Kluyveromyces lactis: one gene and its partner. The protein of the gene in region 1 interacts with the protein of each later gene in a pairwise test. Links are inferred from orthologs where the notes say so. Each region holds a gene or a part of one and is shown in the gene's direction. Other genes may lie near its edges.

Evidence for each region.
Region 2: the proteins of VPS53 (region 1) and ARL1 interact in binary tests that used the Saccharomyces cerevisiae proteins (3 or more experiments, as listed by UniProt). The link is inferred for Kluyveromyces lactis from reciprocal best matches to the Saccharomyces cerevisiae genes VPS53 and ARL1.

The regions. Positions count from the first base shown.
Region 1 is NC_006040.1:792,427-798,961, forward strand, and holds VPS53 (Vps53p), read left to right. Parts: upstream 1-2,598; coding exon 2,599-5,010; downstream 5,011-6,535. Other genes in the region: chaperonin-containing T-complex subunit CCT8, read right to left, coding at 1-1,670; KLLA0_D09416g (uncharacterized protein), read left to right, coding at 5,317-5,910; spindle checkpoint protein MAD2, read right to left, coding at 6,028-6,535. UniProt on the Saccharomyces cerevisiae protein: Involved in retrograde transport from early and late endosomes to late Golgi by linking the vesicle through the t-SNARE TGL1 to the Golgi, leading to the membrane fusion between late Golgi and endosomal vesicles.
Region 2 is NC_006041.1:2,192,392-2,196,821, forward strand, and holds ARL1 (Arf family GTPase ARL1), read left to right. Parts: upstream 1-2,162; coding exon 2,163-2,714; downstream 2,715-4,430. Other genes in the region: TYR1 (prephenate dehydrogenase (NADP(+))), read left to right, coding at 1-305; UBS1 (Ubs1p), read right to left, coding at 538-1,269; KLLA0_E24795g (ABC1 kinase family protein), read left to right, coding at 3,584-4,430. UniProt on the Saccharomyces cerevisiae protein: Recruits golgins such as IMH1 to the Golgi. Can bind and hydrolyze GTP. May be involved in trafficking events within the endosomal system.

The DNA.
Region 1 (6,535 bases):
CCTGGTTTTGGACCCTTTGGTACGGCTGGACCACCAGCTCTCTTGGCCATGATGATCTGGTCAACTGAAAGTACTGTCTTCGCAGCCTCTGTGGCGACATCGATAGCGAACTTCTTAGCAGCTAGTAAATCATAAATGCCTTCATCTCTGATATCTTTGATGCATTCCGGGGTATTGTTGTCTATATCAATACCTTGGTACAAACCATCGTTGATTTCGTTTGACGCAGTTTTTTGAGAGTGGGCAGCATATAAGTTTGGTAGTACTTCATTAACGTTTAGACCTGCAGTTTCTGCCAACGTTCTTGGTACCACTTCGAATGCAACGGCAAACTGTTTGATGGCAAGTTGCATTAGACCTGGCGTCTTTTCACCATAGTTGCTGATTCTTGATACCAACTCTATTTCAGTAGCACCGGCACCTGGAACAAGTTTTCCACCATCCTGTTTCATTAAACCCTTAATTGCATTGACACCGTCATCAATGGCACGTTCGATATCGTCCAAGTTATTTTGCGTAGCACCTCTTAAGATGATTGTGGCAGTCCTAGTGTTTTCGTTCTCCTCTTGTTTGAAAATGGTAACTCTATCACCACCAATTTCTTTCGTCTTTACGGTCTCAACAATACCAATTTCTTCTGGAGTTGGGGCACCTAGCCTTGGCATTGGTGTAGCACCACACACACGGCAAATTCTTCTAAGTTCGAATTTACTTGGCACCTTTAGGACGAGAATATTGTATCTGTTCAAATAATGTAAAGCAAGCTCACCAACACCGGCACCAGCAACAACACATCTAACACCAGTCTCGGCAATTTCTTTCATCATTTGGTCCAGTTGTTGTTCTTCACCTTTAGTGAAATCTAACATCTCCTGAGCATTATGTAAAAGCACAGTACCCTTGGTTTCGGTGTTTGAGATATCAATTGGACATGTAAACACAGCAACCTTATGCTTTTCACCTTGAGGCAAGGACTTCAAATGTCCTTCTGGTTCGCGGTTGAAGACTAAACCCTTGATAACAGATGAGTTGGTAAGGGAACCACCCATAATCTTTACCACTCTAATTGAGTCGACATTGAAATAGTTGGAATTTGGTAGCAAGACATGTGCCACAGCGTCTGATACTAAGGAACTTAAAATATCTTCAGAACCATATTGCTTGGATGCAATGACTGGCTTGATGACCTTGATTAACTCACTTTTTTCATGTTTGTTCTTGATATCCAACACAGACATCTTGTCAAGTTCTGCCAAAGTAAAATTCTTTGCCATTGTGTAACCTTGAATAATTTCTACAGGTGAAAGACCTAGCGCAATAAGCTTTTCACTAACATTCAAAAGCTCACCAGCCAACACCATAACAAGGTTAGTACCATCACCCATATCAATTTTTTGTTGTTCAGATGCCATCACCAACACTTTAACAGCAGGATGGACAATCTCTAATTCCCTTAGCATGGTAGCAGCATCGTTGGTCACAATGTGCTTTCCCAAATGATTAATGATGATCTTGTTTCTGCCGCATGGCCCCATAGAAGTTAAACACATCTGGTGAATCTCTCTAATGGCAGCGATCGATTTATTGATTTGACCATCAGCATTAGAGTACGAATTGTACCCTTGCTTGAACAATCCCGCATTAGGATTTTGAGGAAGTTTCAAAGACATGCTGCTTTTCAAGGATTTGTGAATTATCTGCTTTCCTTCCAAGGTATAGCTTTTCCACGTACAAGTTTCGTCTTCGCCACCTTTGTTCACGCACTGTTTTCTATATTTCAACTATGTTGTTAAAAGATACTTTAGCATTTTTTTTTTTCAGTATTGAGAGATATGCAGAAAATATGGGAATGCTTTAGCCAATAGTTACTAGGGACAAAGTGTCTGAATAAGGCATGTGTACATGTGTGTTTCTGGAGATCTGAAAGTACTATCATCTTACTCTAAAGAATAGGTATGTAGCTGGGTGATGGATGCATCCACGTCAACATCCTAGGAATAATCATAGCAGAATAGAGTTATGTATCTTAAAACTTCGCTGATCCTGGCAAATCAAACCATTTCAATATATAGCTCAGGAAGGCACTTACTCTGTTGTTCTGCCATATGCAAAACATATGTTTGTAAGAGCAGCATCGTTGGCTACACACTGTAACTCGTTGAGCAATAATATATTATGCAGTGCGAAGATTACATCGTTCTGGTATATGTACAGTGTCAATGAAGCTACTCAAAGGAATTGCTTCAGTAGCTCAGTCGGAAGAGCGTCAGTCTCATAATCTGAAGGTCGAGAGTTCGAACCTCCCCTGGAGCATTATTTTTTTCATAGTTAAAGGGTTTGGAACTGTCAATTCACCTTTTAAAGACTTTGTATTTTTTTTCGATATTTCTGATATCAGACTTTCATAGTAATTATTGCATACAGAAACAAATATAACAAGAACCTTTGTTGTATCATCAGTAAATGACAAAAAGAGCCAGCAATTGTAAGTTGCAGAGGTATAATTCTCCCTTCTCTATCCAGCTCCTCCCCATTATTGTTTCCTGTATTAGTATCACGCACATTAATTTGAATTGAATAACTAGAACTTAACAAGTAATGATTTCAGAATCTTTGGAATACGATCCCTTACACGATCTTCAACAGATATTCTCGAAGCAGGAATCTTTATCAGATATTGATAACCTAGTGCTATTAACCGAAAAATGTAAATTTAATTTAGAGGAGCGGGTACGAGAAAGCAATAACACCAGTTCAGAAGTCAATAGTTTAGAAGACAATTATGATTTCCACAAGTTGTTTGAGAAGATAAATTCAACGAAGTCTCTGTCACAGATTACTGAAGCAACCATATCCGACTTGACACATGATATTTCAGATTTGGATAACGCTAAGAGGAATATAACGAGATCGATGACGTGCTTTGAAAATTTGAAGATCTTGAGTGATGCATACGTGAACTCTAAAAAGTACATGCAAGCTGAAAAATACATTGAAATGTGCGGCCCCTTTAAAGTTATGCATTCCTTATCTGTATCTTTCCACGAATATAAATCTTTGGATGAGTTTTGTAAGTTTCTAAATCAAATTCATCGTTTAGAGAGTGATACACTATTGGTGTGTGAGAGAGTAACGAAAGAAGTGCTTAGGGATGGGTCTAACAGTAAATATGACAGCAAAACGATGAAAGACGGTATATGTTGCCTTGCGGACACTAATAAGCATTATAAAGAAAGGATTGTGCAATTGTGTTTGGATTCTCTATTGTATGAAATTAAAGAAATCTTCCAAATTGATGATGAAGCTGGTTCTTTGGAGAATTTGTCTAGACGTTACATCTTCTTCAAAAAAGTATTAAATAATTTCCAGTCTACTTTCAGCGAATATTTCCCATCAGAATGGGAGATACCTTTGAAACTAACGGATTCTTTCTTCACAATGACGTCTAACGATTTGAAAACATTATTGAAGAGAGATTTGTCCGGTACCACCTCCATTGACCTATTCATGCAATCGTTACAAACTACCTTAGAGTTTGAAAAATACATATCAGTGAAGTTTTCCCATATATACGAGGGTAAAATATCCACTTGCTTTGAGCCATATTTGAAATTATGGGTTAGACACCAAGATTCATCTTTGAACGCCAAGATGTTGACATATCTTAATGAGACCAAGCTCCCAGCTAAAAATGAATCGCTTGTCGTTCCATCCAGTGCAGACTTGTTTAGAACTTATAGACACATTCTTTCTCAAACTTTCAGCTTGATAGAAGGCGGTAATAAATCGACCATAATGGTGGAATTGGCGGTTTTCTTCGTCAAATGGTTGAATGAATATTATGAAAAGATTTTGAAACCATTGTTGTTACCTGAGGATACACAAATCGATGATAAGAATGAAGTAGTGAAATATACCGTTCTTCTTGTCAATACAGCAGACTATTGCGCAAATACAATTGATCAATTGCAAGATAAACTCTGTGAATATCTTGAGAATGATGAGCCAAATATCAACAAAGTTGCAGCCATTTTTGAACCTACAAGGCAAAAATACATGGATCTCGTATCGGGTGGTATCAATTTACTACTAAATCGCATCCTGAAGAAAGATTTGGAATTTGTATGGAGGGAGTTCACAAACACAAATTGGGCTAATACAATGGTGGAAGATTACAGCAGATATGTGACTACCTTACAGAGTATCCTCCTACCAACAAGATCGGAAAATTCAACATTTTACTCCACTGTTTCTCAATTCAATAGAGATCTTTATGGTTGGAATTTTATTGATAAAACTATTGATTTAATAGCTATCTCTTTTGAATCTCAAATTATAAAGCTCTTGAAACCAGCTTTACCATATGGCACTCTTAATTCGAAAAGACAGTTCGATGTGAAGCAAGTGATAAATATCGCAGAACAATTATTGTTAGACGTTCAACTATTGAAGACAACGTTGCATTCACTTCCGGAAAGTTTACCGCAACATGACACATCAGCTAAAAGAGTCACGAAACACATAGATAGTAATGTGGAAAAACTAATGCATCTTTTAAAGTTACTTGTCTCTCCTATTGACCCTGATACAACATACTTGGAAACCTATTATGCAATAACCGCAAGTCAGAATACAAACTCAAATTTCTGGGCATTTATACTAGCGCTAAAAGGTGTACCTTGGGATTTGGCACTTTGGAAAAGAGTATGGTCAGAATTTCAACAATCAGATGATGATACTCAACCGATGAAACCAGATGACCTTATTTTCAACCCTAGAGAACTACAAAACTTTATTTACAATCTATCGAGGGTATCAGATCCATCATGGAAAACATTTTTGGAGGAAGACCTCAAGATTAAACCTGTTCCACGTCCTGATTTATCCGTAGCTATACAGTCCTCCCCTAGTCCACCCACTGGGTCTCCATCCCCTAAGATTCCTGGACATAAATTGAATGAGATAAAAAACCTTATGTCAAACTCCAGTTTTTTTTTCAAGAAGGGCTAACTGCTTCTGTAGAGAAGCTTCCACACGCAGTTTGACCAACGAAACAGCAACACTACTTGTAATACTACCTTTACCTCTGTAGCAGATTTATCAGTTTAAATAGGCTTTTTTTAACATTTTCGAGGCATGTCAATGCGTCAAGTCAAAATGACACAGAAAACTCGAAGATATTATTTACTTATGAATATTAAGATATATCAGTTAACCTGAGCACTTACAATATATCTGATTATATGACAAAATGTGCCGCACAAGTTGGTTCGGCTATCGACTTTATTTTGAAATCAGACCTGGTATCCTCATGCAATGATTCCATTCTTCTACATAATGATTTTTTTCACTATAGCTGAAAGCACGCTTACAGATGCTGAGTTTAAGGAAATTGATATGTTTATAGATGTTGTTGGTGAATCACATTTTGCTCTGATGTTTCCTGTGGAATTGATCAGAACCGATTTGAATGATACGTTTGACCCAAAACAAGTTTACGATATTTTTGATGAATTAGCTGAAGAGCGCAAAGAGTTTCAAATAGTAAAAGAACTTGATATACCTGAGTTTGTGGCCGAACCGCTTTATGATAGGCTGACATATCTCTCAGTCAAATTGGATAATGGATACACCGTAAATCTAGCAAATGAAATAGCAATAATTCAGGATATAATCCAAATAGCAGCAGAGTCAGACAACATTAAACTCGATTTTACTGCTCTTCTTAGAGTTAAAGAAGAGTTGAGGGTTGATATGGCAGCCGTGTCAAAATTAAAGTTGTTCAAAACGTGCTTATTGTCCAACCTTTTCCCATTTATGCAGGAAGAATGCGAAGGACTCTTAAGACAAAAGCTAATTGAACATCTCAAGATTTGGATAGAAGTTTGGAAAAGACACCAAGATGATTGAATTAGTATGAGCTTTCTCGAGTTGAATTAAGTATTATGTGCCTTTTCTACTATATCTTGTTCCTATTTGTAGCATAAGTATTAAAAGGAAATGCAATAAGTTCAGCCATTAATTTTGTTAGAACTTATAAGTGACTTCAGCTCCCACTGAATAGGCCGATGTACCGAAAGACTTGAATTGCACAGATTCCCCCTTCGCTATTTCTTTTGAATCAGAATCTGTCCATTCTAGTGGAACATTCGCATTACTATCAGTATAGGCCAAAACATTGAAAGTATAGTTACCTTCATTTTTCAATTCGGGCAAGAAAGTGACACTGGCTGTTATCTGTCTAAGTACTGCCCGAATCTCCTTTTGGGTTTCCTCTAATGGAATGTTCATATCATCATCAGTATCGTTCTTGTTGCTGTGAGAATCTACGTTAAACTTCCATCTTTCAATTGTTTCACCATCATCCTTATCTACTATACACAGAACAAGCTGGTGACATTTACCTCCCAATAACCACCTATGAACCTGCCGGAGAATTTCCCGTATGTATTGTTTAAGTTCTGTATCTTGTGTTTTTAATAAGCTCAAATCATACTTCTTAACTGTAGCGAAGTCTTCTGCCGGGTATACTGCT
Region 2 (4,430 bases), on another chromosome or scaffold:
TCTGCAGTACTCCTTTATTCAGAATTTTCTTGGGGGTTAGCGAATACTTATTCCTAACAGATGGTTTACTAGAACAGACTATCGATGCTGCGATTAACGTACCAGAGTTCAGAGCGGATGATATGGAATTCGTCATAGCTGCAAGGTCGTGGTCTAATATCGTCTCTTTTGGTAACTTCGAACTCTATAAGAGACAATTTGAAGAGGTACAACAATTTTTCACTCCAATGTTTCCAGAAGCAAATGCTATTGGCAACGAAATGATTAAGACTATTCTTGAGCATTCAAAAAGTAAAAATTTATGATATGTTTACGCTTGATAGATTATGTTATATATGTATATATATGATATACAATGATATACATAAGTACTGTGAGAGAAATTTATTGCTAAAACTTCGATACGATCGGAAGATAAATCCTCACATAATGTGCCATAAACTATATAGACGCCATGCATTAAATTAGAAGGATGATGAAAATAGCTTCATTGGATGGAAAGGTGACTAACTTAATAGTTTCAGAGAAAGTTTTATTTTATCGCCTGCGTTTTCTACTTTCTAAAAAGTCACAATCTTCAGAGGTTTCCAAGTTGTTGAGATTCGGTTCTGTGAGTGGACTCACACTCATAAAAGAGCTCAACCCGGTTCTTTGCCTCTTTCCCCTGTATAACTGTTCCGAACAGTCTTCGTTTGTTATGTGGTTATGGGTATCTACCGGGGTTGGGCTTTTACTATGCAATTTCGGGGAGTTTCTTTTTGTATGATTAGGTTGTGACTGAGCCTGCGTTTGCAAATATTCGTTTACCATCTGAACGTCTGTTTGAGTCACCGAGTAAGACTCGAATAGTCGCGGGGAGAAATTCTTGAACTCCTTTACCATAATTCTGTTCCAAGCCATGGCCAATTTTTTATGATAATCGGTGATATTAGTACAGCGACTATAAATTGATGATAACAAATGCTCATAAAAGGAGCACAACCCATAGTTCAGAAGAACAGGAGAGAGATGATTCAAGCAGATAGTCTTATTCACAGGTATGCAGGGATTAGGTGTCAAACAGTTTAATAGTATGATAGGCTCCCATTCGTTCATAGGCTTGTGGCTTATGAAAACAACACAGTAAAGTTCCAAATCTCGGCTTTCGTCATGTAGTACTATATTCCAGAACTGCAAATTTGATTCTTGTGGCTTGATATGGCATGTAGAGTGCTTATAATGGCTCAAACGTTTCCATTCCCTAAGGAGTTTCCTGTACAACGGATGCATCTTATGTGGATGTGGCCTGCTATTTGAAAGAAAAAAAAGTAGTGAAGAATAACAATTATAGGCAATGGAAAAGCCTTTCCAATAATGATATATTACCACACTTAGTTGGCAATATAGTAGTTAAGATATCCAATAATAATCACGTTACCCTTAGCTTTGCATGCAAAGGTATGCAGTCTTACTGTTTTGTATTTTTACAAATCAGATTAATATATTCTATTATTATTTTTCTCTGATTATCATTTTTGATCTACAAATTCTTCATATATTGTAGAATATGTTTATACAGATAGAAGAAGAAAGAAAATTCAGAGCATTAATCAGTACCGGTATGCCTCATGTGAGCTCTCTGCAGTTACAAACTCGCATATATAAAAAATTGAGATTGAACAAAAAAATACAGCGAGGACAATGTGAACGATACAGACTATATACGCAAGTAATTTTTACTATGTCTAATGGGGTCTCTTTGTTTGTTGTTACCCGGCCACTAAAAGGCCAACTACAATTTTAGTGAAAGGAAAATCTCAGGATCGAGTGATTAATAACACACTGCATTGGTTAGGAGTTATGATTTCATTGTATTTAATATTTCACTCATTACAAAGACATTATCTGATCTTATAGTACGAATACAATAAAATTGTTTACACATCAGGAGACAAACTTACCGCTGTCTGGATCGCTGTTTATTCGTTTATTTGTTTCGAATTTTGGCTGTAACTGGTTCTCAAATAAGAAATATTTTGAACAAGTACTTCCTAATTTTACATATCAACTAGTACAAAAGTTTTGGTTTTAAATTATTAATTGACTTATTAATACACCTTTTCTTTAATTACCAACTACCTTTGAATTGACCGCAGTACAGCAATTACTTATAAAATATCACAATGGGTAACTTCTTTAGTTCTATGTTTGATAGACTATTGGGTGCGGAAAAAGAATTACGTATATTGATATTAGGGCTTGATGGTGCTGGTAAGACGACGATATTGTACAGACTACAGATAGGAGAAGTGATAACTACAAAACCTACCATTGGTTTCAATGTAGAGACGTTAAATTATAAAAACTTGAAACTTAACGTGTGGGATCTAGGTGGACAAACTTCGATTAGACCATACTGGCGTTGTTATTACGCAAACACAGCAGCAGTTATCTTCGTTGTTGACTCTACAGATAAGGACCGTATGAATATAGCTTCGAAGGAATTGCACCTCATGTTGCAAGAAGAAGAATTGCAGGACTCCGCTCTGCTCGTATTTGCCAATAAACAAGATCAACCAGGCGCATTAAGTGCGTCAGAAGTATCAAAGGAGTTGAACTTGGCAGAATTGAAGGATAGAAGCTGGAGTATTGTTGCATCCAGTGCCATTAAGGGCGAAGGGATAACTGAAGGTTTGGATTGGTTAATTGACGTGATTAAGGAAGAACAAATGTAATTGTAGAAGGAATTGAAAACTGCATGTTTTTTAGTGCTTCCGGTCCCATTATATTTATCTACAACTGAAATGCTTTTTTAATTTGACATGACCTAAGATAGTAATAAAAATAAATGACAAAGCTAATAACAAAGTTAAAATTCGAATTGTTTACTTCCTGCCGATGCTGGCGTAATGTCCTATTGAATTCCTTTACACGCTTATTTCAATAGACATTCAATTTTCCCATGCATTTTTATTTCATCTCCAAAATCCTCCACTATTTCGTTTACGTTTGCGTATGCGTGATATAATGTTTTCTCCTATTCAAACCATTCCATCGTGCCCTAGTTTCATTATATATATAGCATATTCATAATTCGCATAATTAAGCAGTCATTATACCATGCAACCACGAATCCTTTAAATGGAACATGGTCTTGCCAACTACCACCATATCATTCAGTATATGATGTATTACTTCGCTCAACGTAAAAAGGTAAATCTCTTTGTTATATATTACAGGTGTACATTACCCCCTCGACGAATATCATATACTGGAAACAAATACCAAAAGCGGTACCTCTTTTTGATTATTATTTGCTATAGTAATAACTACAGGCATATAGCAAAAAAAAAAGTAACCGTTATAAAGATCGTGAATTGAAAAAAAAGTGTGTGTTATTAAAACGATGACAACTTATAAAAAGGTCAAGGGAGGCAAATAACTCAGGCCTGTTTATCATTCATGTTATAAGTATATGAATTGGTACACTTAGGTTTGAGGTTTTGTCAATTGGTCTTTTCAGTATAAACTCCGATTTGTCATTTTCAGATTATCTTTAATTTTGAGACTGTCCAGTTCATAGGTGGGTGTAAAACTTAGTCCAATGAGGTTTTACTTTAATGCGTTCCGCTCTAGAGTGAACTCCAGGGTGTTTTTCCTCAAAGGTTTAAGAATTACACCGTTTCTTCTGTCGCCTATAGTCCCACTTTCGATGCAATGGTTTAGAGGACCGTTATTGAACAATTCAACGGCGCTAATACCCGATAAAAAAGGGGATACTTTCGAGATGGGCTTATACATTTCTTCACAGAAGCAATTACAGGAAGAAGCCGAAAAAGAGCGTGAAAGAATTATAACTACTAGTGTTATGCCCAGTTTTTTTAAGAGGATTTTGTATCGCATCAATGATGTTATTATAGAACCGGTTTTAACATTGCTTCGATTTCTAGAACTTTCATCCATATTCATTCCGTTGTTAATAATATATCCAATTACATGCCTTGGACATCATAAAACGCTAAAGGTTGATTCGAATAGAGTTGTGAAGGAGACATCAGGTTCCCTTTTGTGGTTTAAACTTCTAAGAAAGGCTTTAGAATTCGCTGGTCCTACATTCATAAAATTAGGTCAATGGGCAGGATCCCGTACTGATATTTTCTCCGAGGGTTTATGCGCAGAGTTGGGGCGCCTACACAGCAATGCTAAACCTCATGCGTTGAAATTTACAAAAGAAGCCATTGTTAATTCCTTAGATAGGAAATATGAGTTCGATGATATATTTGATGAATTTAACGAAAAACCTGTTGGATGTGGTGCCATCGCCCAGGTCTACATAGGAAAGTTAACTGAATTAATGATGAAGAACTTTGATATTAAAACGGATAGTAGGTATTTTGCAGTGAAAGTGGTTCATCCAAACGTACCGAAAAAGATAGACCGTGATTTAAAAA